3 linked regions of the Lonchura striata genome follow. The main gene of each other region encodes a partner of the protein of the gene in region 2 in a complex. Links are inferred from orthologs where the notes say so. Each region holds a gene or a part of one and is shown on either strand. Other genes may lie near its edges. The genes, in order: CPLX1, SYT1 and SV2A.

Evidence for each region.
Region 1: the proteins of SYT1 (region 2) and CPLX1 are in contact, whole or in part, in a crystal structure (PDB 5W5C), measured with the Rattus norvegicus proteins. The link is inferred for Lonchura striata from reciprocal best matches to the Homo sapiens genes SYT1 and CPLX1. Residues at the interface, in NP_001028852.2 of Rattus norvegicus: Glu271, Thr383, Gly384, Glu386, Thr406, Leu407, Gln408, Glu412, Met416; in NP_074055.1 of Rattus norvegicus: Val61, Met62, Gly65, Asp68, Lys69, Tyr70, Lys74.
Region 3: the proteins of SYT1 (region 2) and SV2A are in contact, whole or in part, in a crystal structure (PDB 4V11), measured with the Homo sapiens proteins. The link is inferred for Lonchura striata from reciprocal best matches to the Homo sapiens genes SYT1 and SV2A. Residues at the interface, in NP_001129277.1 of Homo sapiens: Thr291, Lys314, Lys326, Lys327, Lys328, Glu342, Ser343, Phe344, Ser345; in NP_001315603.1 of Homo sapiens: Asp82, Thr84, Glu85, Gly86, His87, Asp88.

Annotation. Positions count from the first base shown.
Region 1 is NC_134642.1:3,229,740-3,240,615, reverse strand, and holds the start of CPLX1 (complexin-1), read right to left. Parts: upstream 4,500-10,876; 5' UTR 4,243-4,499; intron 3,508-4,242; 5' UTR 3,436-3,507; coding exon 3,405-3,435; intron 1-3,404. UniProt on the Homo sapiens protein: Positively regulates a late step in exocytosis of various cytoplasmic vesicles, such as synaptic vesicles and other secretory vesicles.
Region 2 is NC_134607.1:48,122,379-48,132,674, forward strand, and holds the start of SYT1 (synaptotagmin-1), read left to right. Parts: upstream 1-5,440; 5' UTR 5,441-5,569; intron 5,570-10,296. UniProt on the Homo sapiens protein: Calcium sensor that participates in triggering neurotransmitter release at the synapse. May have a regulatory role in the membrane interactions during trafficking of synaptic vesicles at the active zone of the synapse.
Region 3 is NC_134635.1:2,704,777-2,714,981, forward strand, and holds the start of SV2A (synaptic vesicle glycoprotein 2A), read right to left. Parts: upstream 4,951-10,205; 5' UTR 4,719-4,950; intron 2,723-4,718; 5' UTR 2,569-2,722; coding exon 1,989-2,568; intron 1,172-1,988; coding exon 991-1,171; intron 892-990; coding exon 740-891; intron 664-739; coding exon 530-663; intron 152-529; coding exon 62-151; intron 1-61. Other genes in the region: SF3B4 (splicing factor 3B subunit 4), read right to left, coding at 8,428-8,612, 8,993-9,163. UniProt on the Homo sapiens protein: Plays a role in the control of regulated secretion in neural and endocrine cells, enhancing selectively low-frequency neurotransmission.

The sequences.
Region 1 (10,876 bases), on a different chromosome or scaffold from region 2:
AAAAAAAAAAAAAAGCTACAGAAGGAAATGAGCCAAATAACCTACTATTTTGTACTGTTTTTCCTGTACTACAGTCCCCACTGCTAATGAAAGGGTCAAGGATTTTGCCACGAAGAGGCCATGGATTTAAAAAGACACATTTCAAGCTCATCAACCTTCAGGCAGAAACTCTGCTGTCAACACAGCAGCAAAATCCCTGTGCTGGCACAGCAGAGGATGACCTTCCACTGCACAGAAAGACTTCTGCACACCCTCTTTAACAACGAGCCAGGGAAAAGACACATTCTACCTCAACAATACCTGTCAAACTGATTTCACAAACGCAAAATACCCTCATCAAACTTTCAAACAAAGCAACTTGTCACCACATAACTGCCTTTCCTTGGCTGCTAACTTGCTAACTTAGCTCACCTACCTTTCAAAACAACTCATTGCCTTCTTCCCCTATGGGCAAAACTCCAAGGAAAAGCAAATGTGATCATTCTGTGCCATTATAGGCAAGGCTAATGTCTTCAAAGTTTTCTTCAAAGGCAATGGCAAAACTCCCACAGAAGCATAAGGTTAGTTCTACTGTTAATTAGCAGAGAGTGAGACCTCAATAAGGTGGTAGGAGGTAGGAGAATGATATTTTTCTATCAGTACCTTATTTGACCACTCCCTATGACAAAACCTGGCTCCTAACTCCTCCACTGCTTCAGAGACCTGCATAGTCCTGTACAGCAGGGAAAGATCAAAAGCAACCACCTGCAAATAGTTTTCAAATCCAGGCTCTTAGTTATAATAAGATCTGGCCTAAGCTTAAATTTAGGGCTGTAGGCTGGGAAGAAAAAATATATTACGAAAATGACATACCCCTTATGCTCTGTCAAGGACATCCAACTGGCCCTCAGCCCTTGTGAATTTTCACCATCTGACATAGCTGAAGGGTTAAGCTACCTTAGCTGTAGGTATTTGGCAAGCAGAATCTATAGCAAGTCTGATTTTTTGTAAATTAGAGGAGACCTTAATGACAAAACTGCAGTATTTTTTTCTTTCTTCCAGGAATCCATAAGAGCTTATGAGAATAGTATAAGAACTTCTGCACAATTTAAAAAATCCTATCAAGCAGAATAATGAATTTAGATGTGTTCTGGGAAAAACCATATTAAACTAAAATCAAAGAGCCATGAAATCCACCCAAGGACCTCCCAAAAAGTGAGGATAATAAAAATAGTCACTAGCAGATCAGACCACGTGCCCTACCCAAAGCAAGCCTATTGACTAGAGGTTTGGTGGTCTGCTCAGTTTGACCATCCTTGTGGACACAATTCACAGATTAGTCTGAGTTGGAAGGGACCCAGAAGGATCACTGAGTCCAGCTCTTAAGTAAATCTCCCTTTGGATATCAGAACTGGCAGAAATAAAGGGTTCTGGACCCAAAACTAAGGAAGCAAACTATATCCTTTAGTCCTTGGTTTGCTGTGCCAGTCTGGCCAGCCTGGATGATTTGCATCAGCTTGGGCTTTAACTCCAGGGAGAAACCAGTGTCCAAAACCACTTTACTTTCCATATTAGATTTGCAATGGGAGATCTTGTTTTATCTTGTTGAAACTATTTGTAATTTAAAAATAGGACTCTGCTTAATGAATTAGCATTTCCTGGATTTTACCACTCTGCAGAGACTTCTCCTTTATTGAGTAAGTGGGTAAGTTCCAGACACATTAAGTCATCTGGCAGAAGAGCTGGTGCCCTGGACAGCATCTTGACTGACATCAGAAGCTCAGACTTCACAAAAAGATGCTTTTTGAATTTACCTTCTCAGAAAGTCCTATTACCATACAAATCCTGACCTTGGCATGCAACATCTTGTCAGAATGAAGGAGGTCTGCCCAGGGTGAATGTTGTTAAGCACGGGCAGACACTGCTTCCAACTCATGTTAAGTCACAAAGCTGCAGAAAAAAGCAGCCATGGTAGATGTTATTCCTTTGCTGCAGCCCTCCTCCCCCCACCTTTAGCTGCAGTCTGTGAGCATTTATGTCCCTTCACTGGATTTATGGATCTCCAGCTGTAGTTGCTGTATCTCCAGTTTGCAGGTACATTAGTTCAATTCTGTGCAAGCAACCTTGCACTACAGCAAACAGTGCAAAGTCTGCACATCTTAACACTAATTCTCCTTCAAAACAGGCACTGAAGAGTGAAATGAAGCACAGTGCTGCTGCCACACAAACCGCTACCTTCTCACGCAGATGTCCTCATACCTCACTGTTTCATGCAAAACAAATTCATCCCTTTCTTCTCCAGTTTTATCTCCCTATTCAAAATACCCCAACTAAAACTTTGGTTGCTTCCTCTGTTCTAAACTGTGAAAATTTTGCTCCTCTGGTGAAAAACACCCACCACTTTCAGAGATGAAAACATTATTTCCACACCATGGGATAGAGTCCTGCAGTAAATGTTGAAGTTGTATATGACATCAATATCACCACACATTAAACATTTACACAGCCCCATGATTCTACAGTTTCTTCAAAGCAAAAATAATGAAAAATGCACACAAGAAATAGAGTACAAAAGAGAATTATCAGCTTCCTCTGAGGCAAATATTTCAGTTCCCAACAGCATCCAGCATCACCTCAGGGATGCTCAGACCAAATGTCCAGGTCAAGCAGTCTAGAAAGTAACTGTGGCAGAAAAAAGGAACCTCATTCCCAAATATTTATTCAGTGTTTTCAATTTTGCCTACACGCATCCCTAACTTTTGTATTTCACACCGTTAGGTTAAAATAATTCCTCATACACGTAAACTAATATACAGAAACCCACAGAAGATTTGCCTTAAATCCAGGTAAAGTGTGTAGGAATAATTTATTATCATTTCCATCCTTATTGTGGCAGTGTCCTTACCAAAAACAACTATCAAAATATCAGAGACAGAAATTTCTGCACTGGGCATTTTTTGTTCAGGATTTGGCTGGTCTTTGGGCCAAAGATGAAAGAAGGTTTACACACATAGACAAAATGTCACTCTTTCTTTGGGCTTACTCTGCCTAAACCAGTCTTTGTCCTTTATAATATCTGCCTCAGTGTCATGGCATGAAGCAAATCAAGGCTTGCGCTGCACAGCAGGATGTGCATCCAGGTGGTGAGGTGCCAATTAGGCATGACCCAGGGCCCGCACACCCTGTGTGGGAGGTCTCTTCTCTGACATGGGGCTTTGGTCTCTGCTTGTTGCTGCCCTCTCCTGCTCAGATTCTCCAAATACTCCACTCCGGGATCATTAATCAGTGACAGGCATGCTCTTCCAAGTCCTCAATAAGCTATTCCAGGTGCAGTCCCTACTATAGTAGACCATCTCCTCTCTTTCTGAGTGGAAAGGGGAGGGGTAGGAGGGATTCAAGGCCCCTTGTTTGCCAATCACACTTACCTCCTAGAGCTTGTTTCATAACAAAATCCATGATTTGTCACTTGGGGTCCTGCCCACCTTCACACCTCACATGCACAGAGACTGGAAATCCTTGGAAGGCAGCCTGCAAAGAGGCACAATTAAAACAGGAATAGTGTCTCTATAATGCCTGATATTCCTCAGCTCTCTTCCCACAGTCTTCCTCCCTTTGTCTGAGTGCAAACAAGTTTCCAGCCCTCCATCCTTTCAGACCCTGCTTTGCACGGGCACCCCAAGGAGCAGAGCTGCATGTCAGCGGCTGGGAGGACTCAGGGGTACACGACGGCTCCCCCAGCCTGGGCAAGCGCCCGGGAGGAGTGCGGAGGAGCAATGCGGTCCCCCTTCATGGCTTTTTTCCTTGCAGACGGGCAGGAAGGAGTTAAACCTTTGAACTTTCCCGTTTTCCCCGCCTAGCTTCTCGCCCTCTCGGTTTGCTCCGAGGTGGCAGGTCCGCCCGGGACCGCCGAGGGGGCATTTGAAGGTGAAGCGCCCTGCAAGTGCCCGGGAGAACAAGCGGGGGATGCTGGGCGATCGGGATGCGGATGCAGTCCGGCTAGCGGGATGGAAAGTCCCCCTTCGGAAAGCCCCCAGCGCAACGCCGGCGAGGGCTGCACCTCCTCAGGGTGAGCCGGGACGGCTCAAGGTTGAGACCAGCCTCAGGTGCTGCACAGCTCCTTCATCCCACCCCCCGCCCGAGTTCAGCATCGGCTCACAGACACCTGGAGGGACAAGAGCTGTCCCCGTCTCCGTGCGCCCGCACCCCGCCTCTCCTCCCTGCCCTTCCCGGCTCGGCACGGCCCGCCCGCCCCGGCGCCGGTACCTCGCTCGGCGTGCTGAGACGGGCCGGGCCGGGCCGGGCAGGGGCTGCGGCAGGTGCCGGGGCTGCCTCTCCTCTCCCTCCTCTCCCCCGGGCTCCGCCGGCGCCCGTGTGCCCGAGGCTCGCCGGGGAAGTTGCGGGCGCGGAGTGGGGGAGAAGGAATGAGTCCACAGCTTCTCCCTACTTTTTTTCCCCCGCGCCCCTCTTTTTATCACAGCATTTCCGGACCATCCCACCGACACGGTCCCTCCTTCCTCCTCCCCTCGTTGCGGGCGTTGGACTCTCTCCCTCCCCCTGCCTCCGGCTCCCCCGCCCCTTCCCTGCGCCGCCCTCGCCCCTCGGTGCCGAGGATGCCGGCAGCGCTCCCCGACCCGCGGAGGGGTGCGAGTGTCTGCGAGTTGTCCCCCGCCCCATCCCTGCTGTCCCCGGCAGCCAGGTGTCCTTGTGCTGTGCCGTGGGGGGAAGGAGGGGCCGCTGTCAGCCCGCTGTAGCATTTTGCAATTGGTTTCCTTGCCTCTCCTCGGGAGTCAGTGTCTGTGTGTGCCAGGGGAAATCTCTGCAAACACGGCTTCCTGCAAAAAGGGGGAGGGTGTGGGAGAGCGTTCTGCATCCTCTGTTCTGAGTCCTTCCCCCAGATCCCCTCTCATTCCCTAGGTCCTGGAACGAGTTGGAGAGGCAAGGAAGAAGACAAGGGAGGGAGCAGACTTTCTCCTCCCTCTTGCTTCGCCTCGAATTAACTGCGGCCGGAGAAGAATCGCCGGCTGCTTGTCTCTGTGCTCTCGCTATCCAGGTTGGGGGGGCGAGGCCGGGGGGAGGGACGGGATGGGGGGAAAGAGGAAAGTCGTCTGTCTCCCTGCGACTGCCGCTGAAGGACGCCAGTGCAGCGACCCGTTGTCCAGCCCGGATTCGGGACGGCATCTGGAGGTGAGGAGGAAGGAGCTGTGCGAGCGCTATGTGGCAAAGCAGAGCAATATCCACTCCAGAGCACCGGCGCCCACCTTTAGGGATGCTGACAGCCGGCTTGGCGCTGGATGGGGAGGAGACGAGTTCTGCTGCTGATCCGCCCTCTTGTCGCCAGCAGGAGAGGTGGGACAGCAACCCCCAGAGTAATATATGGGTCTAAAAGGAAGGAGGGGGCTAGAGCGGGATGCTGCCGGCACACGGGGAGCTCGGGGATGGGGAGCAGCGGCGCCTCCCGGGGAGATTCTGGCACGGCCCGTGGGCGACATCGTCTGAAGGTCAGGAAGGACGCCGGGCCCGCACCTGGCCCCGCGGAAAGGCGTGCGGAGCCAGAACAGGCGAGCTCTGAACAGGCAGCCATCGGGGCTCCGCAGTCTGCAAAGCTTTCAGATGCCAGCCGCAGATGCAGGAGTGCATATCTCTACACTCAGAGCCGTGTCTACCACCTGGGTCTGCCTCAGTGCCCCATGCCTGTCAGTGCTTCAAAGGCATTTGGATAATGCCCTTTATAACACCACTTCATCCTGAAGTGATCGAGTCAATTGGGCTAGATTGTCTCTTTAGGTCCCCTTCCCCTGAACTGTTTTGTTCTATTCTATAGCCTCCCAGAAAACCACTTTTGCAGCTGACACTAATGTTAGTCCAAGAAAGTCACCCGGGTAAGCAGTGCTGCACTTTTTCTAACAAGTTTCAGGGAGGAAAAAGACAGGGTGGAAAAGCCTCTTGTTTTATACCTTAATTCACCCCCAGAGTGAGTGTTTTATACCTGAACAAGAGTGAGTGTTTTATACCTGAACTCACCATTCAAAAGGCATAATGCAGTATTTTTTATGTTTTTTCATACATAACACAGGAGTTTGTCAGCACAGATTACTGTGCTCAAGAAATGAACCTGGGAGCCTGCTGGAGCTGTGTGCCTGGGTTTCTATGCTATTAACACAGTGTTTCCAGATCTGTGGTGCCTCCCCAAGTGTCTATATGCCTTTGAGCAGGGTTTATAGTTTGGGTCTGTCATATCACACCTCACATTCCTTTTTCATCATATGATTGCTCCTAGAGAAAGGACAGCATCCCCATCCCAGACTAGCAAACCTCCATACGCACACCTTGCTCTTGTGTCCCAGAGTCTGGGAAGGAGCAATTAAATACCTTCAAACAGAAGGATCAGAAAAGTGTGAGCTGATAGAACACCCAGTTGCCTAAAATCAGCTTTCTTCTTCCTATTTTGAGAATCCTGGACCATGCTACATCAAGGAACTCCTGCAGCAGTCAAGGGTCAGCATAACCAAGTGGGGCTGCTGAGAAATGTCATTGTTCCTGTTCATAGGTTCCTTACAAACTTTGCAACAGCAATTGTCCTCCCCTCTGTGCAGAGAAGAGTGACGTCATCCACAGGGATTTCAGAAGCCAGACAAAACAATAGGGACATCCAGAAGTCCCTGAAAGATCCCTGAGCTTCTTGTTGACCTGTTTAGACTGGCTGGTCTGTTTCCAGAGACAGCCCACTCTCCAAGGGTCATGTACCTATGGTTCTGTTTCCAAACTGCACCCACATTTTCCAGATTACACAGCTGACACAGAAAATCATGATACTGAGCTCTTAACACTGACTACCTCACAGTTCCCTCCTCTTCAGGAGACCAAGGCACATCATCATGAAATCACGAACTCCAGTGAGATACTCTAAGTCCTAACTTCAGTATCTCTACCCTGCCTCAAGTGCCAGATTCCTTGTACCACCCACAGGATGTACAGATGAAAATCCAATCATTTGTGAGCCTGATTTGGGTACCTCCCGTCCAGGTGATACTCTGACTATTCGGTCAAGAAAGTTCCTACCAGTACACTCTTCACCACATGAGGATCAGGCACAGAGGCAAGAAAGCACACAGTCAAAAGAGATGATGTAATCTATGATCTGCATCTATTCATAGTCTTAGGAAGACTTCTTGAGAAGGCTTTTACCTCCGAGGCAGAGCCTTTCCTCAATTTTCCAAGAAACCCAGCTGGAAAGACAGTCTCGTGGGGATCTGCTAGGTGATTTACCTGCCATACATGATGTCTGATACACAAGAAATAATAGCTCCTGCAGCCATGGTAATGATATGAGCAATGTCACATGCATCTTCTTTCTGATGGCATGTACCAATATCCTAGGTTCATAAAAATTTATGTGTATGAATCTGGCAGTAATGCAATTTTATAAGATCTACTGGATAGTAACAAATCCCAGGAACAGCAGCGTTTTCTCACCAGAGTGAGGGATGGAGCCTGCGGTCTGTGAGTGGGATCTATCCCAGCACCATGGACAGAGAACAGCCGCCCTGACAGCTCCGAAACTTCTCCAAACACCAAAGCCAGTTCTTAGTCTGGATTGCACTGTGTAGCTGACAAATGCCTGCTCCTGATGGTAGGAATAGGCTTGTTCTTGCTTGCAGAACCAGAACAGTAGGAATCCACATTGTGACCTTGCTCGGTGCAGATGAAGAGTGCAGAACACTGAGCAAAGATCTCCTCCATGGAGTTTTGTGCATGGAACTGAGATTCCTTCCTTGGCCACCAGCTGGGAATCTGTGTAAGAAGTGGAATAAGCCAATAATTGAGTTTGGTGACATTTTCCATAGAAAAATTTATATTTGTATCTCTAAAAAGAAGGAAGGGTCTGTTTTCAGACAGAAAAAAATTAAATTAGTCAGGATGTTTCATTTCAACATCTTAAAACGCAGTGTTTGATTATTCATTTCCATATGGTGTTTGACTACTAAACTGAAACCAATGCCATGTGAAAATGATACTAATAAGAAAGCTCACAAACAAAGTGTAAATGTTATAGAAAGTAATTAAGCAGCCGCCCGAAATGAACATACTTAGTTTCTTTTTCTTTTTTCCCCCCTATCTTTTATTAGCTCTCACTATTGGAACTGCTGTGCTGTTCAGTAGGCTGCTGGCAAGACCTGCACAGGAGCAGGGTGATTAGCTTTTTATCAACACAGCTACTGAGACAGAGGAGTCAATACTTGCTAAAGGTAGTTTGTGTACAACAGTTGCAAATCCTTCAGTGGTTTAGTTCGCTGAACACATCTACTGAGACAAATCTACTGTTTGTTTCATTTTCTCTTCAACTGTCAATTCTGACTGCCAAAACATTTCAGAATTCAAGCATTTTTTACCTCTTCAAAAGTACTGCTTTTTTTCTTGTTACATTCAACTTACAGCAGGCTTTAAGGTTTTTATTTTCTAACCAATTTAAAAAAAAATAACATTCTTTTTAAGAAGTGTATGTTTCCCTAAAGCAGGGAAAAATTATAAAAGGATTTTACAGCCATTTCTAATAGCTCTGAAGTTCTGGTCCCTTGAGATTTCTTGAAGGTGAACTCTCTAGTTGAGCATTTGTTTCAGCTATCACAAGACCAAATTTTAGCTGCCCACCCTCAGAAAAACTGAAACAGACACATATTGATTGTTCTGTCTTAATGACATGTGAACACAAGAGTGCAAACCATATAATTTAAAATTTTTTTCTTTTTTATTTTAATGAACACAGATGCCCCAGTCTATTTTATGAATAGGACCCTTGGTAGGCTGCCATTTATAGCCTCTAGCTCTTAAGCTGACAACTTCTTGTTTGTTTTCTACCTTTTCTACTCCCCTAGTCCCTCTATCTCATTCCTTTCTTTGTTTCCTTCTCTCTGGAGAAGTTTTTGCCTTGCCAGACTTATTGAGAATCCCTTCTCAGCAGGACTCTGATTCCTGTGGATAGGCATGATCAGGTAAATCCTGTACCTCTTATCTCCAGGATTTACAGCTGTAGATTACAAGGCTTCCTTGGCAGACAGAAGTTGTCCATAAAGCCAAGAATCCATCTTTATCACTGCAGTGATTAAATAAAGATGCCTCTATCCAAAGTGTATCAAGTTTTTGTCATAAGATTATTATTTCAAGTACTTTTGGCAAGAATTTTTCCACCAGTGAATAAGTCATCCAAACCAGAGCATTCTGGAATCTGTCAGCTTGTACAGGAGTTTAGAAGCAAAGAAGGTAAAAAAAATTACTGCTATATATTTGATGCTGTTGAAACATTCTACTTTGAGGTATCAAAAGTGCTGCACCTTTTCCATGACCAAATCACTTTGCCTTGACTCTTTGCTTCAAGCCATACATGTGTGTATGAAAAATAAACAAAATCATAGCAGAGTAAATTGGATTTGTTTCAGAATTCTTCTGTCAATGGAGAGGGGAAAAAGATGCCATACTTTTCCTCTTTGTTGCAATTTAAAGTGCAAGCAAGATTCAAAAGGTCAAACACACTTTACAACAGAATTTCTGTTTTCCCAGGTAATTAATTCTTTGCCTCGCCTTCTTTTATTACTCTATGTCTTGGAAAACAAAATTATCAGAGGGAAGTATTATGCTTGGCTGAAATGATAGCTTGGTGTCAGATGCTATGGCCTGTAGTTCTTCTCCTGTGTTAAAAGAGTAGCCTCAAGTTCTGAGCTCATTTTGGAAGGGATGCCTTCACCTCAAAAGCAATATGTCAATCCCTAAGCTATAACAAAAAATGTAATTGTTTAATATTTTAAACTTTTCATTAAGCATGAGGTGAATGTGTACTTGTGTTAGTTTAACGCAGCCTGATATTTAGTGGGAGTGGGAAAAGCCACAGAGGCAACATTTGAGAAAAACAAACATCTGCTTAAAGCTTCTACTATGTCTAGGAGAGCAAATACCAAAAGGCTCTGAAAATGGACATGTTGCTAGCTGTTCTTTACAATTAAAAAAGTTGGTAACACCTCTGTGATGACACTTTAAGTAGGAAAAAAAAACACGTGTATACTCTCCTTCTTCTTCTTCCTAGGGGTGGGGAGGCAGCCAATAGGAGGCCATGCTGGGGAAAATTAAATAGGAAAGCCTTATAAATATGATTGCTTAGCAAAAGATTTTGAGGATATAGAAACTATAAGCAAGACTGAAATGAAAGCAAGCTTTGAGATACCAAGCCTTAGTTACTGAACAACTAGAAAACCATAGTATAGCAAATTAAAGGTAATCCCCTTTTGATTAAACAATACCCTCCACTTGCAGACAAGTCCAAGGGTCAGAGCAGACCCCACTAACTTAGCAAAAGTGGTCCAAAAAGTAGTTTTTAGGGTTTAAAATGTAACACAGTATAGTAATATAATGTAACAGTATAGTAATATAATGATTTATATAAGCTGAATGTAAATGCTCCTTATAAGATTTCTATCTTATACTAAATTAGTTAGTGAAAATTAAAATATTCAACATTCAAAAGAAGATTTATTGTATTATAACAAAAACTTCTCTCTTTTACCCTCTATTACTCTTTCAGCTCTCTCTTTCGGGCCTGCTTGGAGCTGCAGCTGGCAGCTCCAAACAGGGTTCCTACACACACACCCTTTACAATAAACCACAAGTTCCAAAACCTGACTTCAAATATCTCCCATCTCCATCTGTCCCAACCATCCTACCTCCCTCACTCCCACGGGGACACGCCAGTGCAGCCAGGACCATGCAGCCATCTCTGCGTGGCTGCTGGGGGGACCCTGTGGCCGACAGTGAGGGGCATGAGGAGCAATTCTGCAATGGGATCAACTTTTCAGCACTGTGAAACCCTGTAAGATCCTTTCTATCGATAGAACTTGAGAACAAGCAAACC
Region 2 (10,296 bases):
CATAATTTTAAGTTCATTTATCTATGTGGTTTGCAAGCTTTTAAGTCTAATAAAAGTCTAGACACCAGAATTTACAGTGACTGCCTTATTGTAAGAGAAGTAAATACATTTTTTAAACACACAGAATACTACAAAATAATGATTACTGTAAAAGAATAATACACTTTCTTGATTTGGCATTTTAAATTCAAATACTAAGGTAATTTTACTTTGAATGAAATGACAGTGTGAGCTAAATGAAAACAAACTCCCTTGAGAATTATTTATCATGCTACTAATATTCAGAAGTATTTTCTGAAATTTAAAATACGTTAATTAGGTCTTTAGTAACTCTATCCCATTTTTAATTCACCTGGAAGTTTTTGGCCTACTCTGCATAGTTGGATGGTAGAACTTACCATGCTTTATGGCTGGGCTGGCTTCCTGGGGCCGTATGTCTGCTGCAAAGTGAAGGTTTCATGGACATCTCAAATTAGAGACATGAAATCTAGGAAGCCTGAAACCTTAAGATTTTATCTCTGTTTCAGTGTTATAGTCTGATACTTATATTATTTACTCTCACTCCACTCTCAGGGTGGTGTAAACATAAGCATATTTTGCATTTAAAAGTCAATTTGTTTGAGTCTCTCCATACAGAATTATGCTTAATTTGTATTGGAGACATGGAATGTGCTCTCTTATGTGCATTGTGATAGTCAATTCATACTGATTTGAAAAAACATTGTTTAAGTCTCAGCCCTCTCCTCAGAGGTAACACTGACTGCCATTACACAGATCTTCCACCTGTTTTGCAAGGTCACTCCTAAAAATTAAATTAGAAATGACATTTTGCATTCTTTTATTACACAGTCATCCATGATGCATACAGTAACTGTGGATTAGAAATTTTACATTGAGTAAGCCATAAGGTAAGAAGATTGATAATATCTGGGTGTTCTGGAAGCTAAGAGTTCAGTAGTTTGTCATTTTACATAGTAGATTGTGCCTGAAAAGGAAACTGGGACTTCAGCTCATCTTAGCTTAACTGAAAAGTATTTTTTTCTGGAGTGCCATCCTGAGCACCTCTTTGGTGAAAACTGACTTTCAAAGAGGGGAGGGGGATTAGGAATGCATATCTGACAACCCAAAAGAGAATCCCTGAACTAGGGGCACCATCTACAGGGGAACAGACTGACACTGACTCAGATCAGTTCATGCATTACATAGCTGACATCTGTGCAAAGCATATGCAAGTTGGTTTGGCTACACTTGAACACCCCCTCAGAGTACTTCTGTTTTCATTTTCATTTCTGCTGCCATAGTGTCCAGGAGCCCTGGGCACAAAGCAGGAGCTCTCAGTGTCAGCTGCTATACAAATGCAGACTAAAGGAGATCATCTCTGCCTAATCAACTTAGAAGCAGCAGCAGATGTGTACAGATCAAACAGAAGAAAACAATGAAATCAGATGACAAACTGAGACAAATATCAGTGAATGGACTAACAAGTTCTTTGATTTTACCCTTTGATTTTTAGCTATAATTAAAACCACAAACCCACAACATTTATTCTCCACTCTCTCTACCTAAATGGTAATCATATACATTGTTAGAAAAATAATCTTCAAAGATGATTTGCTTAATGTAACACTTCCATTAGTTGTGTATAGTTGAATAGTTACTCCAGTATTTATTAATTTTACTGAAGGTTAATTGTCACTTTAGGGACATAGCTTTCTTTCTCTGCTTTCATGTCTTTCATTCTAAGTGCATCATCACCACTCAGTAGGTATTATGTAAACTTTACTGAAACCAAGAGTGTGACAACAGAACACCAAAATGGGATTCCAAGTGTTTAATTCTCAGCTATACAGACCAGCCCTTGTATACCCAGTAAACTGGAAAAAACATCAAAACAATAAATAGCCATTAATATGTTAAAAGAAATTTCAGAAACACATTCTTAAACTACTGCAATAAGAGCCTATTTTTAAAAGCTGTTCCATTTCCCTAAGCAAAACCCAATTCCTTTATCTTCCCATAAAAGTACTTCTCTAAAAACTAACTTGATGATGGAAAAGACCAAATCAAAGCACAAAACAGAAGTAAATGACATTATAATGAAGAACAAAATAAAATAATTTTTCTGTTAAAGACAAGGATCTGTAACCTTGTGACACAGAAAGCCAGTTCAGTTAGTTTACAGATCTACCTGGTAAGTAAATTAACATGCTACCAGTTTTATTTACTTATTTATCTGCCAGTGATTTGCTCTCATTATTTACCTGACTTCCCATCTTGTACATCTATTTGTGGCAGTTGTGATACTTGGTCACACAAAGTGTGACCTACAAAAGGAAAAAAGTCAAAGACCTGATTGCTTTTTTGATGTGTAACAACTCCTGTTGCTCCTGAATTAGCCTCAGTTCAGTGACTGCCATTCTAGTATCTGCTCTTCGTATGCCATAGAACTTGCCAGGATAGGCCCAAGAATACTGGTTTCATTTGCTTTGGCCCAGGCTTCCTCCCTCTTTATGGATCAAGCAGGAGTCTTTCATTTTCCAAATCTAATTTTTATGGCTCATATTGCTTTCTAATCTTGAAGTCACAATATACAGAAAGTGAAAAATAAAAATAACAAACAAGGAATCATTTCTGCTCTTGCTTTTTATTCAAAATTTTGCCTGATTCTCCTGTACCTTTGTCTCAGTCTAAGTCTAAAACAAAAACAGAACATATGAAGAATATAATGGAGCCTAGCTCTCCATTTTTATGTAGCAAGATACCTGATGGAACTTCTGAATGGCTGACAGTAATTAAAATTATCTTCTGATGCACTAAAACACATAAAAAAAATTAAAATGCCAAAGAAAGCAACAAAATAGGGTTTACAATAGAATTTCTTCTGGATTTGCATGTTTCTTCTTTTTTCTCATAATAGGATCCTTTCTTCTTCCCTAAACACAACCATGGAAGAGTTAATAATAACAAATACAGTCATGTATGTTTCATGATTTTAGAGGCTAGCATTTGGCTAGCACTCCAAGCATTCATCAAATGGCTCCTGAGCTCTTCTAGAGCATCTTTGTCCATTCAGGATATGTATGTCATTCCTTAAGCCTCACAGCTTCCTTTGGTATAATTAACATAATGACTGGATACTAACTACCCATTTCCTTGAAAATGCAGTAGTGAAATAAAAATTGCAGGACTGAAAACCACTTTCTGTATGAATTAACCTTTGAACTTGAAAGAAACTGAAGGAAGCAACTTTTCAGCAATTCTTTCATTGCAAACAACCAAGCTCAGAAAATAATAGGCAAAAACTCTCCCAGCCACTTCGACAGCTGGTTTAAGTTTTTTGTTTGGTTGGTTTTTGTTTTTGTTTGGATTTTTGTTTTTGTTTTTTGAGGTTTTTTAAACATAGCAGAACAATTATGTATGGGCTACCCCAGTCAGAGAGTGCAAAAGTGATGGTATACTCTTCAGGACTACTACTAGATAGCATTTCTGTTCCTTGCTATCTGTACATTAAGGAAGGGCCATTGGGCTTCAGTGATGTTTCTTGTCTTTGCTCAAATACTAAGACAGCATATGATGTGTCATGCCTTGTGAATGTCAGACTCCCACAGACTTCTGGCTGTGTGGCTGTTAGGAACTCAGCATCAAGTCCTCATAATTACTAGCACTGAAATGTGTGGGTTTTTTAACTGACCAGATAAATGTTCCTGGAGAAAATAATCCTTGGTATCTCTTGTATTGGTACAGAGAAAACAGCAATCCTTTTAAATCGTACAGGGTAATCTGAACACAAGTGACACTTCTGCATATGCAGTTTAAATTATGGTTGTTCCTCCTTTCCATAGCTCAGTAAAAGCTTTACAATGTAATTTCTTTTGCATTTGCTTTCCTTCTCTCCTCTCATGGTCTAATGTGCCCATACAAGAAAAACTGATATTCTGACATAACAGACCTAAGAAAAAATGCGGTCAGAAAAACTGAACTGGAAAAGGGCTGTGAATTTTAGAGTCAAATCCAAACATGAAAGTATGGATGGGGAATGGCAGAATACAGTTCTATTGAAAGCACAATAAGTCACCTATGAGATGTGCCTGGGGGCCGTGTGACTTTCTCAGTTACCTGCTGACGATGGCATACGGGCTGGTCTCTTTGCCAACATCTGCTATCTATATTAAGATGTACTTTAGGTACTTTTCACTCTCAGTGTAATAACAGAAACTGACTAAATGGTTGTGAAATATATTACTACTTTCTTAAGTTTTCTTAGAACAACTGTAATCCAGCAGGATCATATACAGTAGCACATCAAACCTGAGCTACAACCTGTATGTTCAGTACCCTGTAACCAATTAAAGGTTAGGGGAAACACATACAGAAATACCACCCTGTTGTGTTTACAATTTTGCAGGTAAAATTGTTTTCCTCCTCTTTGAGGAATATTGCTTGTTATCCTCTTTGAGGGTATAAATGCAGCAGTAATATATGCTGAGGAACAAAGAACTTTAGTCTGTTGTGTTTTTAAAAGCTAAGCTTACATCTAAATCTATTTCCATTTCCCTCTGGAACCTGAGCAACTTTTTATGTTATATTAAACATCAGACAAATAGGATAGATCTAATTAAAAGTTGAAGAAATGTGCTTCCCTTAATTGAATTTGTTACAGTTACATTTTGCAGACCAGTGTTAATCAAAGCTCCAGTTCAGAGTGGATGGATCAAGGGAATTAGGTTAACCCTTGCACGTCCTTACCTGAACACGCGATACAGTCTGCTCTCGCCTAAGCCACAGAAGCCAATTACGACTCACCCCGCTGGGTCGCGACTGCCCGGGGCGGCGGCAGAGAGGGGGCTGCGCGCCGCAGGCTCGCTAACAGTACCAACTACGCCTGCCGGGGGTCGCCGCCGCCCCGCGACCTACGGGCGAGGGGCACTGCCGCGCCTCGCCCGGGGCACCCGGCTCGCCCGACGGCCGCGGGGCTTGCGGTACAGCGCGTCGTGCCGGCCAGCGGCAGCCCCGCGGCCGCCCGGGGATGCCAGCCTCGCCCGCCGCGCGCGGGGATACCCTCCTCATCCTCCCTATCCTCATCCTTCTCCTCCGCCCGCGGCCGCCCGGCCCCGCCCGACGGGGCGGACGGGGACCCGCGGCCGCGGGATGGGCGAGGCCGGCGCGGCGGCTCCACCCTCGGTGGGCGCCGGGCGATTGGCCGCGGAGCGCGTCTCCCCGCCCCGCAGCCAATGAGGGCGGCGGGCCGGGGGTGATGGGCTGCCTCTCGCGGGAGGGATTCCTGGAGACGCTGCAGTGTGGCGGCGCTCCCGGCGCCGCGCAGCCCCCGTGCCGCCTCCGCCGCCCCGCCTGCCTCGCCTTGCCCTGCCCGCCGGCGGCCGCCACCGCCGCTGAAACTTAACGCCCGGCGCGCCGCCTGCCCGCCGAGCGCAGGGGGCTGGGGCAGCCTGCCTGCCGTGCCGGGGGCGGTCCGCCCGCGCCCCGCCGCGCACCGCAGCCTCGCCCCGGGAGCTGCCGCCGCGGGGAGAGGCTGAAGGACGGAGCCGGCTGCGCCCGCCCCGGTTGCCAGGTAAGGCAGCGCCCCGGAGCTGCCCGCAGCCGCGCCCGGGCGGCGTCGCCGCGGGCGGGGGGGGCTGCCCGCTGCGCGGGCGGGGGGAGCGCACATGCTCCGGGGGCGGCTGTACCGCCGCCCGCCCGCCGGCTCTGCCCGCACTGCCGGGGGGCGGGGGCCCGCCCCCGGGGCGCTCCCGGCGGGGGTGGGGGCGTTTACGGGAGGGGCGACACAGACAAAGGGGACGCCCGCGCCCCCCCCCCGCCGCCCTCCTTGCTCTCCGCCCCCGCGGAGCTCCGCCGTCGCCCCCCGCCCCGGCTGCAGGAGAGGGGAGCCGTCCGCTCCGCATCCCTCCATCCCTCCGCACCGCTGCCCGGAGCCGGCGCCGAGGCGGCCGCCGGGCCAACTTGTTTCTCCGGGTGTCGCCTGGCCGCTGCCCCCGCCGTGCCCCCGCCCTCGGCAGGGTGCTCTGTCCCGACGGCCGCCCCGGCGGAGGGCGGTGGGGCGCGGCGGTGCGCCCCGCCCCCGGTGCTGGTCTCCCCTCCGGACCGCAGGACAACAGCTAATCGTTTATGTATCAATTCACGAAAACCTTTCCGTCATTACTTAGAAAGGCTGTCAGGCTAATGTGTTTTCTTTCCGTGCAATTTCATTTTCCTTCATGCCGAGTACCACTTGCCCTGCTCTGGTTTGGGTACGTTCAGTTCTGGTTCCTAGGTGCACACGGTATGAGCTGGGGATCAGCGCTCTGTTTAAAAGTTAATTTTGCCTATTCAAACTCCACTAGGTACAGTAGTAAGAAAGTGACAAAGAATGTTCATGTTTCTTTTGTTTCTAGCCTTCTGAAATAAAGATATCAAACGACTACTAGCTTCTGGTAGTCAGTATAGTAAATAAATTAAATGTAGTCGTTGGAATGAGCTTTTATGGCACTTTCAACAATCTGTAATTCAATCATCTCTTATACAAGCTGCCTTTTGCTATTATTCATCAGACCCAGTTGAGTGATTTCTGTCAGATGGGAAGTGGTAGAGAGAAATCTCTAGGTAGATGTAACTGAAAAGCTTTCCAAGTAGAGTCCTAAATGAGCACAGAAAAGCACTTGGCCACAATCTCAAGACAGATGTTGGCATCCAAATAAATAATTTCTTTTGATTGTCTGGGGGATGTCAAGTTTTATTTTCCTTATTTAATAGCCATTTGCGTGTGAATAAGTAGTTCTGTCTTTATTACCTTGTAAACTCAATGCAAAATGTTGTAGTGCAATAATATTTCACTGTCTCTGAAACCATATTTTCTGTACAAAGGTCAGTGGAGTAGTTCCAGATACGCATACATGTTGTAGATGACAAGTAGACTCCTAATCTGCAGTGGTGATATTGATCCTCAGAGCTGCTGTGCAGTGTGCCATCCATGTTGCATGCTAATCTGTTACGCGCTGTTTAAATTGCTTTATTGTCCGGGAGAGTTACTTCATCCTAAGAAAAGGAAGAAGGTACTGGCAGACTCAAGGGGACTTTCCTTTCCCTGTTGAGTTGACATCTAGAGTTACAGATGGGCAGTTGGTTTAGGAGTGTCCCTGAAAAAGGGAGGGGGAAGCTTTTGGGTACAAAGACAAGTAGGCAGTGAATTAATTTGCTTTGTGAGGATATGAAATGACATCCCCTGCCATGCTTAAAAAAACCTGCTTGGAAAAAGCGTAAGGAGATTGCACATGTGTCTAGAATACTGTTTTCTTGTCTGTCTTGGAAACAAATGACCTGATTTTATGTCTTGAGACAAATATGTATCTCTTTTGGTTCCAAGCTTTTTGGGTTTTTAGTTCTATTAGTAGTGTTGAGGGAAATATACTTTAATGTGGTGAATTACTTGGCTTGTGGTATATTTGCTCAAAATTTGCATGCATACAATTCATAAATTGAAACTATATAGCTTTAAAACATAGTGTAGGCAGCTTGAGTGAGAAGAGATAATTTCAAAAAGAACCACAGGGCATAAGATAATGACATACTGTAGGAAATAATCATACTCCTGCACTTGCAAAAGCATGAAGTGTTCCCGTGTAGCCATTTCATACAAGCCAAATTTTCCTTCACATTAAGAGCGTCTAAGTGAGCCTTATTAATGTTTGATGTGAAAGATGCTAAATCCATTTTAAGGGTTGGTACTGGAATTTAAAGAGGTAGCTCACAGACTAACAGCAGTTCTAATACTTCCTTAAAACAAATGTGAAAAATAATCAGTTGCCATGTATGCCACAGCAGTACAAGTGGCATACAGCATTCAGTGTAACACTGATGGGCAAGAACCCCTTTAAAACCATATAGAACAGTGTTTAGCAATCTGAAATGATCTCCTACCTTAATCATAACAGATCAGATGTAAGAGATGACCAAGAAGATGCTCAGTGTTGGTTAGTGTAGTGAAGGTGTGAGTTAAGGGAAGGTTCTGTTTGTCAGAAACCTAGGGAAAAAAAAAAAATCTATATTCTTCCAGCTAGCATAGAGACACCGGAAACATAAAATCAATTTTTATGGTCTTTCGGCAGGGTTGGCTGTAATAAGTAAAAAGAAGGAGCAGCTTAGTGTCTTGGCAGAAGTTTTTAAGCCACTCATCTGTACAGAACTCAGTTAATTGATGTTTCCTCATATGAAAATGAAGCTCTTATTTAGCATCTTGTTGTCTTTTCCTGTCCATTCAGTAGTCTGGTTACAATTTAAAAAAATATTTTTATGTAGTTTTATACTTGCATGCATGTTTGAACACACAGATAAACTCTACTAGGAGCTGCTTTCTGAATAAAGGGTGCATGCAACCTCATTACATGCTGTGGAAGAGACATTAAAGTTTGTGATAGGAATGAAAAGGACAAGAAAATATTTCTGCATATCTAGAAGAAAAGCATGGAGGAATTATAATGCATGGATACCATGATCTCCTTCCCTCTGCTGGAGATGCCTATATAAATATGCAATTTCACGAAGAGAAGTTCTTCATAGTTTGATTTTACTTGGATTCTCTATAGAATGTTTGTTTTAAACATAACTCTGTATCTAGGAAAAAAACTTAATTAGAAATACAGATAAGGGAACAAACTATCAATTTGTGCTTACTGCTGACATTTCCTAAAGATACTCGAGGTTAAAATAAAAGCATTTGCCAGACTAAGTAAACAAAGCATTAGGTTAACAAATATTTCCAGGATCGTTACGTACAAATGTCATCTTTGCTAGAGTAGGCTCTACTCTTCTTTCATACACCCCAGAAAAAGTGGGGGTGGTTTTACTGTTGCATCTTTTTACAGAAATACCAGACACCAAAGCAGACTTCATTAGGAGGAGGACACCTGACAAGGGTTTTTCATGATTTCTTCTGGTGATAGGCTAAGAGCAGGCTACAGGCAATCCCTTTCAGGGACTGCATAGATTAGCTGAGTGATTTGTGCAGCAGCATGTGGAAAAATTTTCGTTTAAATAAAAAAAGAAGTAAAAGTATTTACTAATACTATTTTTTTTTTCTTTGGGTCTTGTAATGACTGAAAGCAGGATGGGAACTATAATAAGAACGTCTCTTTAAGTACTACTTTTGACAAATGTCTAATCAGTATGTTTTAGAGGCTGGCTTTTCTCTTCTGTTGTTTTCCCCAGGTAGCTAAAGGAGGAGCACATGAATGGCTTATGAGAGAACTGACCATTTTTCTTAACCTGCTTTCTTATCACTGCCAGTCTTGAGGTATTTCCCTGAAACAGAAGGCACTGAACAGTTCTCCTTCTCCATACTAGAGGGAGTGGTGTTGCCATCTTCTAAATTCGCAGGGAATTGCAAACTCGGGATGCCAATTCTCTTTTCCAGATATCCCTAAATAGGCTCAGAAAAATCTATCAGAACATGAAATAAATCTGGAATGTTTCCTATGCAGTGTAGTTATCTCATATTCTATATTCTAATATTCATAATATCTTTTTAAATGGAGAAGATTTAACAAATTTTTAAACAATCATGAGAAATTATCCAAATAATTAATCATCTCTGAATTATTATAGTTATATACAGATTTCAGGAAAATAAAATTTTATTTAGGAGTGGCTAAATCTAATTTGGTTCTTTTAAAGATGCTGTCTGTAAGTTTCCTGGGCACTATTCAGGATCTATGGCCAAATGTATTGTGGTAGCTTTAATAATGTAGCCATTGATGTAATAACTAGATAGTACAGTGCCTCAAAGCTACTCAGTGATGATTTAAGGAATTGATTTAAGTGATTAAAAATCCACTTATAAGTTCTGTTTTGTACCTTTATCTTAAGGGTATTGTTTTTCTGTAATCGTATGGTTGAAAAATCAGTGTAGCAGTTGCAAATGGAAAAGCTGGTAACCATTTTTCAGTTTGGCTCAGAGACATGAGTTTACCCATGAACTCTCATGTCCATGTGTTTAAATAACCATGTAGATAGTGCAATTAAAAATAATTGGAGTGCTTTTGTGCAAAGCACTGTGGAAATAAAGATTCCTTCACAAACAGTTTATCTAATTCAGGGTAACAATCGTGCTTTTCCTAGAAAATATGTCTGTGTACAGATGAAAACTTGATCATATTTGGAAAACTTAATGACCACTAGTAGCATGTGGGGTGTTTTTTGTGGGTTTTGTTTTGTTTTGGTGGCTGTTTTTTTTTTGTTTATTTCATTGATTTGGGTTTTTTGTGGTTGTTTGTTTTTTGTTTCTACTTCTTTCCAAAGCTATGGACA
Region 3 (10,205 bases), on a different chromosome or scaffold from region 2:
GCACCCCTGTGCCTGGAGGACACCCAGGGGACCCCAGGGCTGAGCTCTGGGGGGTCCTTACCGAGAAGACCCTCTCAGGGTGGCCCTTGGCCCTCATGTTGGTGTCATGGACCTGCTTCAGCACCATCCAGGCCTCGTCGTGCTTCCCGTTCTGTGAGGGCAGCAAAAAGTCACCCTGGGACACCCCGGAGCTGGACCCTGACCCCCCATCAGCAGTCTGGGTTCCACCACCCACCTGGGTTCTGCCACCCAGCCGGGGATCCCTCCACCGTCTTCATCCCTCCACCATCTTCATCACCACCTTCATCACCTCATCATCCCTCTGGGGGGGTCCCATCACCCACTTGGGGGTTCCTGCCCACTCCCACCCCTCTCCAAAACCCACCTGGGGCTTCCTGTCCAGACCTCACCACCCCCTGTCTGTGTTGTCCCATCTCCACCCCTACCCGGGCGTCCCTTCCTCGAGGGGACCCCCACTCCAGGACCCTGCTGCACCCCAGATTCCCCCCACGGCCCCCCCAGACCCCACCTCAAGGTAGAAGCGTGGGCTCTCCGGCATGGTGGTGAGCGCCCCGATGGCGAAGACCGAGGGGAAGGCGCAGACGAGGACGAAGACCCTCCAGCTGTGGAATTGGTACGCGGAGCCCATCTGGAAGCTCCAGCCTGGACAGGGACAGGACACGGCGGTGGGGCCGAGCCCCGGAGCACACCACACGTGCCACCAGCCCAGGGCTCCTACCGTAGTGGGGGATGATGGCCCAGGCCATAGCGGAGGCGTAGATGCCCCCGATCATCCAGAACATGCAGAGCCAGCTCAGGTGCTCCCCGCGCTTCTCCTGCGCCAGGAACTCCGAGAAGTAGGAGAAGACGATGGGGATGGAGCCGCCGATGCTGGGGACGGAGGGGAGGGAGCGGCATCACCCCCCCGCCCCACGCCCCACGGTGCCACCCCCTGCTCCGGGGGTCCCCGCGCGGCCGGGCCCCCCTTACCCCACGCCCGAGAGCAGGCGGCAGAAGAGGAAGGTGCCGTAGCCCTGGACGAAGGAGGAGAAGAAGGCGAAGACGCTGTTGACGGAGAGGGAGATGAGGAGGCACTGCCTTCGGCCCAGCCGGTCGGCCAGCCCGCCCCACACGAACGCGCCCACCATCATGCCCAGGTACACGATGAGGCCTGGCGAGGGGGACACGCAGCGAGGTCAGTCCTGGGGGACACAGGGACCTGCACCCCGAGTCACCCGGAGGAGGGAGAGCATCCTCGGCACTGGGGGAGGGCAGCGGGCAGGGACCCCCTCCCCAAAACGCTGCGTCCCCTTGAAGGAAGGGACAGGATCCCGCGTTGTCCCCCTGCTCCGCTCAGGGACTGGGGGGGCAGAGGTACCCCCAGGACCCCCACAGCCAGCCCCTCCCCCTGTCCCAAGGTTGCCAAATCTCAGGGATGGGGGGCACTGATGTCCCCTGGGATTTGGGGGGGTTGTCAGGCTCTGGCAGGCATCACAGAGAAGGGGGAAAGCAACAGGACAAAGCCCCCCACAGCCCCCCAAACCCACTCTCAGCATCCACTAGTCAGCCCAAGTTTCTGAGCTCGCTCCCCTCACCATTGCTCATGTGGGGACCAGTGTAGGACTGGGAGGAGGATGGTGGGAGCCCTCACCAGGGTGTCCTTCACCCCTCCTTGCCCCCACATCCCTTCCTGGACCCCACATCCCACGGCCTCCCAATTCTCCCTGTGTTCTTCCACAGCCCTTATGACCCCCCAACATCTCCCCAAGCCCCCCACGTCCTCCCCCATCCCCAGCTCCGTGTCCCCACCCTCCCGTGTTCCTCTGCCCCCCCAACATGTCCTCATGTCCCCCTACATTCCACACATCTCTCCGTATCCCCACACCTCCCCACACCTCCCAGTGCCCCTCCGTGCCACCCTGCCCCTCTGACCCCCCTACCCACCGCTCCCACATCCCCCTGCCTGCCCCCCGTGCCCCTCTCCTCACCCAGCATGCCCTTGTTGGAGTCGGAGAGGCACATGTCCTTCTCGGCGCTGGGCAGGACGAAGCCCACCACAAAGACCTCAACGCCGTCAGCCATGAGGGCCAGGCCCAGGACAAAGTAGAGGGTCCACTGGAAGCGGCCGTGGCCGCACTCCTGCAGGATCAGCTCGTACTGCTGCGCCAGCTCCTCCCGGTCCTTCCTCCGCTGCCCCTCGCCGTCGTCGAAAGCGCCGGCGGCCGCCGCGGCCCCCAGGCGCTCCCCCCCTTTCAGCGACTCCTGCCGGGGGATCCCTTGGTACTCGCCCTCGTAGATCTCGTCCTCCTCGTCGTGGCCTTCCGTGGCGTCGCTGGACACCCCCTCCTCCTCGTTGGCCCCCTCGCCCCCTCGGTAGTAGCCGTCCTGGGGCGCGTAGTCTTCGTCATCCTCCTCCTCCTCGAAGCGGGAGTAGGAGCGCCGGGTGTACTCGTCCTGCACTCGGTCCATGCCCCGGCTCACCTTCTTGGCCGCGTGCTTCTTCACCTCCTTGGCGATGTCCTTGGCGCCGCGGATGAACGCGGTCCGGTCCCGGAACGACTCGTCCATGGTGCCCTTGGGCTGGCACGGGGCGCTGCGGGTGGACGGGGGGTGGTCTCTGCGTCGGGGGCTGCGCCCTCAGGCCCGGGGTGAGGGGAGAGGGGTGATGGAGCTACCCATCCGTGGAACGGGCTGTGGGAGGACCCTGGATGCCAGCCTGGACCTGGGGAGCCCAGACAAAACCAGGCTGAGCTTGGGTGGTAGCAGCCCTGCGTGCCACCTCGCGCTTTTTCTCCGTCTCGGATGGAAACAGGAGGATTTGGGGACCCCCCCCCGGTGAAGCGGCAGGAGGGGGCTGGACTGGGGACGGGCTGAGAGACGCTGGCTCCATACCAGCCCCCGTCCCCTCACCGGGGGGATTCCAGCTGCCCCAGCTCACTGGGACCCCCCAGTCCCCCTGGATCCATCCCTTCTGCGTTCATCCCAAAGCACAGGGGGAGCTGGGGGGGACATCAGGGACACGGCTGCCCCTGAGCATCCCCAGGGCTGCAAGTCACCCCAAAAAAACAAGGCCATCAGCACGTCTGGACCGAAGCTCCCCATTTCCTTGGGCACCACAGGGAGGATGAGGGAGGTCAGCCCCTGAGGGCATGGAGGTCCCTCCCAGCACTGCCCTGGCTGGGTGGCTCAAGGTACAGGAGCCCCTTGGGGGGTCCCTCGAGTGACAGTGACCCGTGCGTGCCAGGCCACGCTCACTGCAGGATTTACTGCGGGAGACACCAGCACCGACCCAGCCAAAGGGGGTTGGGGGTACCACGAGTCCCCTGGGGGGAGAAGAATCCCTGGGGGTGGCATCTCCTTGTCCCCTCACATGCCAGCATCCCACACCCCAGCGTCCCCACACCCACTGCACAGAGCCCGGCTCAGCTCGTGACAGGGATGGAGCCCCCCAGCCCGATGCTGCTGCTCCACCCTCAGGGGCCGTCGTGACCCTCCCCACCTCCCCCTCCCCAAAAAATGCTATTTTTAGAAGGAGCTGCGGGCAGAGGGACGCAGCCGGCGACGTGTCCCCCCCCTGCCCAGCGAGGGGACAGGGCACGCAGGGACGCTAAATTTAGCCCTTCGGAAACCCTGCAGAGAGGGGGGCTGCGGCAAGCACGGGTCCCAATTCCCGAGCAGAGGCAGGTTTTACAGGATAAAATGGCAAATTCCCCCCCATGTCCTCCCCTCTGGCTGCGGGCAGACCCCAAATCCCCTCCCCGGGGGTCCCGTGGGCCTGTGAAGCTCCTGATCCATGACCAAGGTCATTTTGCTCCAGCCAGGCTTGCGGTTCCCTTTGGAACATCCCCGTGTGGGGCTGGCATTGCACAGAGCAGGAGGTATTGGGGGGCCGGGAGGAGGAATGGGGGAGCAGGGAGAGGCTGGGTGCACGGTGAGGAAGAGGATGGGCCGGGGAGCAAGGTCACGGCTGGCTCGGTGACAGAGAGCGGCCGTACAAACCGGGCAGCCCGGAGCGGCCGAGCCGACGCCAGGAGCCAGAGCTGCCTGAGATCAGGGGTCGGATCCCACAGGAGAGCCAGAAATCCCACAGAGCACAGTCCCTGAAATGCGGGAGCCAGGGGGGTCCCCCCAAAAAATGCCCATCTGGGGGCTGAACACGCCGCTGGCCCTGCAGCCCCGTCGTGGCGTTGGACAGCTCTGCACAAGGTTATCGGGTCTGGATCCGTCTCCTCCTGCCACGCATCCAAGCGCAGCCGAGGATGGATGCAACCGTGCACCCCAAAACCCCCGGGAGTCCCACACTGGGGGGCTGCATCCCCCCCCAAAACCCCCCCAGCCTCCCTGCGGAACGCCAGGAACGCCAGGAACATGGCGACAAGGGGGAAGAGTTGGGAATCGCTCGTGTCCAAGGTCACCCCCCAACATCTCCCCCTGCTACCCCTTCCCCAAAAACCCCCCCCGGTTCCCCCTTCCCGTCCTTGCGGCGAATTCCCGATCCCCTCCGGCTGCTCTGCGGCCACAGGCACGGGGGGGGATGAGAGGAGCCCCCAAAAACGCACATCCAAAGGCAGAGCTGGGCTCTGGAGAAGGTTTTCCAGGACAAAATGGCCACAGCAAGTAGGAAAACGAACCCCGAATCCATCAGCGGCTCCGAGGACGCCGATTAACGCCGCGGGGAGGGGGGATGCGGGCTATAAACCCGTTTTGTTCCTGCTTACCTGGCTCAGCCCTCGCCGCGCTCCAGCTCCTTCCCGGCGCCGGCGAGGGGGATGCTCCGGCGAGGAAGGATGCTCGGGAAGGGATAACGGAAAGAGGATGCTCCGGCAGCGAAACGGCGCGCCGGCAGCTCCCGGGTACCAGCGCTACCGCCGCAGCCTCCGCCGCGCACCGGGAGCGCTGGGAGAGTCCATCGGCGCAGCACCGGGAAGGGAGGGATCAACCACGGCACGCCGAGAACCGGGGGGGGCTCGGCGGGGGCGGGGGGCTCGGCCCAGCGGGGAGGGGGCGATGGAGCTGCCGGGATGAGCGAGCGGAGTTCCCGCGGGCTCGGGGCTCCCGGCACGGAGCCGCCGGGATGGAGCCGCTCCGGAGGCTGCGGGCGGCGGGGGGCGGCGGGTGGGACGGGGGGCGTGAGGCAGGGCCCCCCCGGATCCCGCGGAGCAGCTCAGCCCGCCCGCCCCCGCCACGGCTGAGTCACGGCCTCCGCGGGGCTGGATTGGGATTTTTTGGGATCAAATCGGCTGGCCAGGCTCGGCCCCTAGGCTACAACACGACACAAAAGCCCCCGATGAATTTTTTACTTTTTTTTTTTGGGGGGGGTGTTGGGGTTACAGCTGGAAATGCACGTTGCAGCGTGGGATGTCCGAACCCACCCCCATTTCCCGTGGATGGCTTCCCGAGGGTGGGAAATTGGGACCCACAGATGTCCAGCCCCATATCCCGGGGCTGTGGGTGCTGGGTGCTCCTGGGACTGGCTGAGCTCAGAGTGGGGGGCCCTGCACAGCGAGCAGGGTTTGGGGTGCCCCCACGAGCAAGATCTTCCCTGAACCCCTTCCCAGGCATCCCAATATTCCCAGAGCCTCTCCATCCTGCATCCCAACATTCCCAAAGCCTCAAATCTTCCCTGAACCCCTTCCCTGGCATTCCAATATTCCCAGAATCCCTCCATCCTGCATCCCAAAATTCCCAGATCCCAAATCTTGACTGAACCCCTTTCCTGGCATTCCAATGTTCCCAGAGCCCCTTTATCCTGAATCATTCCCAGAGCCCAAATCTTCCCTGGCATCCCAAAATTCCCAGAGCCCAAATCTTCCCTGAACCCCTTCCCTGGCATTCCAATATTCCCAGAACCCCTCCATCCTGCATCCCAAAATTCCCAGATCCCAAATCTTCCCTGAACCCCTTCCCTGGCATTCCAATATTCCCAGAACCCCTCCATCCTGCATCCCAAAATTCCCAGAGCCCAAATCTTCCCTGAACCCCTTCCCTGGCATTCCAATGTTCCCAGAACCCCTCCATCCTGCATCCCAACATTCCCAGATCCCAAATCTTCCCTGAACCCCTTCCCTGGCATTCCAATATTCTCAGAACCCCTCCATCCTGCATCCCAAAATTCCCAGATCCCAAATCTTCCCTGAACCCCTTCCCTGGCATTCCAAAGTGCCCAGGGTCCCTCCATCCTGCATCATCCCAAAATTCCCAGATCCCAAATCTTCCCTGAACCCCTTCCCTGGCATTCCAATATTCCCAAAGCCCTTTTATCCTGCATCCCAACATTCCCAGATCCCAAATCTTCCCTGAACCCCAATCCTCCTGCATCCCCTGCCTTGAGCTGACCCCGTCCCAGCTTCCAGGGTGTCAACCCCAAAACCTCACAGTCAGGATCCGTCGCTTCGCCCTTCAGACTGGAAAACAGGGATGGGGACCAGTCTGCACTGGGAAGGATTTACAAATCCAGGAGCTGAGAACCGATTGTGGAGAAGAAAAAAAATAAATAAATAAACTAAAAGAGGGATGGAAATGCAGGAGTGGAGGAGCATCCCTGGGAAATGGTGACAAGGAGTGCCACATCCCCAGGCACCCGGTGACTCATGTGCCACTGTCACCGCGGAGCTCTGCTCGGCCCCGGGGGATTTTTTGTGGCTCATCAGAAGGAACAGGCTTGGCAGCAGGACAGAGAAACACGGAGTGGGAAAGAGCTGAGGGGAATGGGATAAAAATGGGTAAAAACGGGAGGAAAGGGGAGAAAATCAGGGCTGACAGTGGACTGCAAGGTGGGACGGGATAAAAACGGGGAAAAATGGGAGAAAATCGGGGCTGGCAGTGGACTGCAAGGTGGGATGGGATAAAAACGGGGATAAAATGGGAGGAAAGGGGAGAAAATCGGGGCTGGCAGTGGACTGCAAGGTGGGATGGGATAAAAACAGGGATAAAATGGGAGGAAAGGGGAGAAAATCGGGGCTGGCAGTGGACTGCAAGGTGGGATGGGATAAAAACAGGGATAAAATGGGAGGAAAGGGGAGAAAATCGGGGCTGGCAGTGGACTGCAAGGTGGGACGGGATAAAAACGGGGATAAAATGGGAGGAAAGGGGAGAAAATCGGGGCTGGCAGTGGACTGCAAGGTGGGATGGGATAAAAACAGGGATAAAATGGGAGGAAAGGGGAGAAAATCGGGGCTGGCAGTGGACTGCAAGGTGGGATGGGATAAAAACAGGGATAAAATGGGAGGAAAGGGGAGAAAATCGGGGCTGGCAGTGGACTGCAAGGTGGGATGGGATAAAAACAGGGATAAAATGGGAGGAAAGGGGAGAAAATTTGGGCTGGCAGTGGACTGCAAGGTGGGATGGGATAAAAACAGGGATAAAATGGGAGGAAAGGGGAGGTGGGATGTAACTGGGAATGACAGGATAACACCAGGGACGATGGGATAAAAGTGGGGGTGACATTGGATACCCCCAGGGGAAAAGGGGATGATGATTGTGTCCATGCAGGGAGATTTGCTGCTCCAGGGGGATCCTGGTGGCTTCCATGAGTGAGGAGCAGGGAAATGCCACCCTGGGGCTCACCCACCCAGGATTCTCTGGATACTGGAGATCTCTTCAGCCCCTTGGCTCTCAGCACCACAGGGAACCCCTGTCCCCACACAATCCCACCCCTTACACCTAAATCCACTCCCTCGACCAATCCTTGTGGGGTTCTCCCCACGTTTCTGGATGTGAAGGGTCAGGAGTGGGTTCCAACCTTCCCTTCCTATCCCATCCAGACCCACCTGGCTGTAAGAAGACAACAGTGGGATGAAGAAGGAAGCAAGCAGCAAATTCCCACTTCCATGTCCCCCCACAAACTCCCAGCTCCTGGAGGCTCTGGCACTGCCCAGGGGCAGCAGAAGGGGTTTGTGGACTCCAAGCCTCTTGAAGATTTCCCTGGGGAATGTTTGACTTTGTCTAAACATTGGCACCAAAATATTCCACAGTCAAACCTGGATTTGGGCAGCTCAAGAACGGGAATCCAAACATTTCCTGGAGCAGCTGAAGAGAGCAGGAATCAGACCATGGATCAGCTCTGTCCCAAATCCCTCCAGCCTGGTTCTTCCCAAAGGCCCAAGCAGGGAAGAGATCTCAGCAGAGCCTCATCCCCAATCCAGAAACTCTTCTGGTTCCCCAAATCCTTTATTTTCAAGTGGGTGGTCACTGCTTTCCATACAAAACCAACAAAATCCAATAAAAAGGAGCTTGGAAAAGCTTCCAGGGGAAGACAAACGGGAGGAGATGGGGAGAGAGGGAGAAAAATTAACACAATAAAAATAAACCGGGGGAAAAAATGGGGAGGGAAGGGAGGAGTGGGGGGTGGCCCCCAGCCCTTTGCAGGGATGGGAATGTTGGTGGCAGGGGCCGTGGGAGGACGGGGAGCAGAGAGCCCCCCAGCTCTCAGGGCAGGGGTCCCCGCAGGGGCCCGCGGGGGGGCACTCCAGGGGGTCTCTGCGCCGGCCGGGGGGGCAGTGGGACCCTCTGGTAGCCGTAGGGGGGGGGCCGGGGGGGCCCGTTGTAGCCGTGGGGTGGCATCAGCGGGGGGGGCCCGCGGAGCCCGTGGTGCGGCAGCGGCCCGGGGTGACCTGTGGGGGACAGGGGGGGTCAGTGCCAGGGGGAAAGGACAGAGCCCCCCCAAACCCGCTGCAGGAACACGGCCCACCAGCCCAAAGCCACCCCCAAACTTCCCTGGAGGTGCCCACCCCACCTACGGGTGCCACAACCAGCAGGTGCCCCCCTCCAGCCCCAGCTTGGCAAACGCTCCTCCAAAACCAGGAATTGCTCCCAAGACCCCCACAACGGACCCCCAGAACCATCCCAAAGCTGTGGATATCCCCACGGGGGGGGGTCTGCGGGGTCACCCTGTGAAGACCCCAGAGTTGGGGGGGTGCCAGGTCCCCCAGGTCTTGCTTCATCCCCTCCTCCTCCCCCAGAGCAGAGCCCCCCAAAAACAGACCCCACTCACCCATTGGAGATCCGAAATGTGGCCCCCGTGGGGGGAGCCCCATGGGGGGGGGTCCGGGGTGTGGCATGCCCGGGGGGGGCCGGGGGGGCGGCTGCCCCCCAGAGCCGGGTGGTCCTGGGTGGTGCTGCCCCATGCCAGGTGGCCCGTGGTGCACCTGCATGGGTGGCATTCCTAGGGGGATGATGGAGTTAGGGGTGGCAGGAAGCCCCCCCAGGATTCAAAATTCCAGCTGGGTCTGGAAATCGTGAGTGCAGGGGGGCTTCTGCTGCCAAAAAGGGGGTTAAAGAGAAAGGAACACGGAGTTTAAAGCAAGAGGAAAGGGTTTGGATGCAAGTGGGTGGGAAAAGAGAAGTGTGTGAAGCCCTGGCACAGTGAGGAATTCCCATCCCTGGAGAATTTGGACAACTGTGGGAGGCTGCCCTGCTCCAACTGGGGCAGCCAGGGTCCCCCCAAACTTCCTTTCTCCCAGTGATCCCATTTTATCCCTGTTTTTATCCCATTCCACCTTGCAGTCCACTGTCAGCCCTGATTTTCTCCCCTTTCCTCCCATTTTTACCCATTTAAACACCAAAACACCAAATAAACCAATGACTCTTTCTTCCTGAGCCTGGTTTTCCCTGGCCAGGTGTAATTGGCTCTGCTCAGGCCCTGCAGCATCTGTTCCTGGCGTGGCCAGAGCAGGATCACACAAAGCTCCCTAATTAGGGTGGCTCTGGAGCTACGAGATCAAAACAAATCCCAGAGAATCATTAAACTGCACATTTCACAAAATCTGTGCTTTTGAACACAGAGCTGAGATGCAGACACAGCTCCTTCCCAGGAGCACAGGGCCAAAACAGTGGGGAAACCAGGGGAAAAAGTGGTTTCATTCAATTATTAATGCCAAAATCAGCTCCTGCCTTCCTTCTCTGCATCTCTGCCTTCCTTCCTTCCTTCCCCTGTCCCTGCACCTTCCCAACTCAAGGAAAACTGGTGCCTCCCAGACAGCAACAACCTCCTGAATTCCCCAGATCCTTCAACAATCATAACCCCCGCTCAGATTAAACTCCAGTATTTTGATAATTATCAAAAAAATTACTGGATGCCACACTTAAAGGGACCGGTCAGCTAATTAGTTCTGACCCAGAAATTCAATAACTCGCTGACGTTTGAATTGTTTGAGAGGTCCAGCAGGAAGTGGGAGGAAAGGAGAGGTGGAGGGAAGACAAAAAGA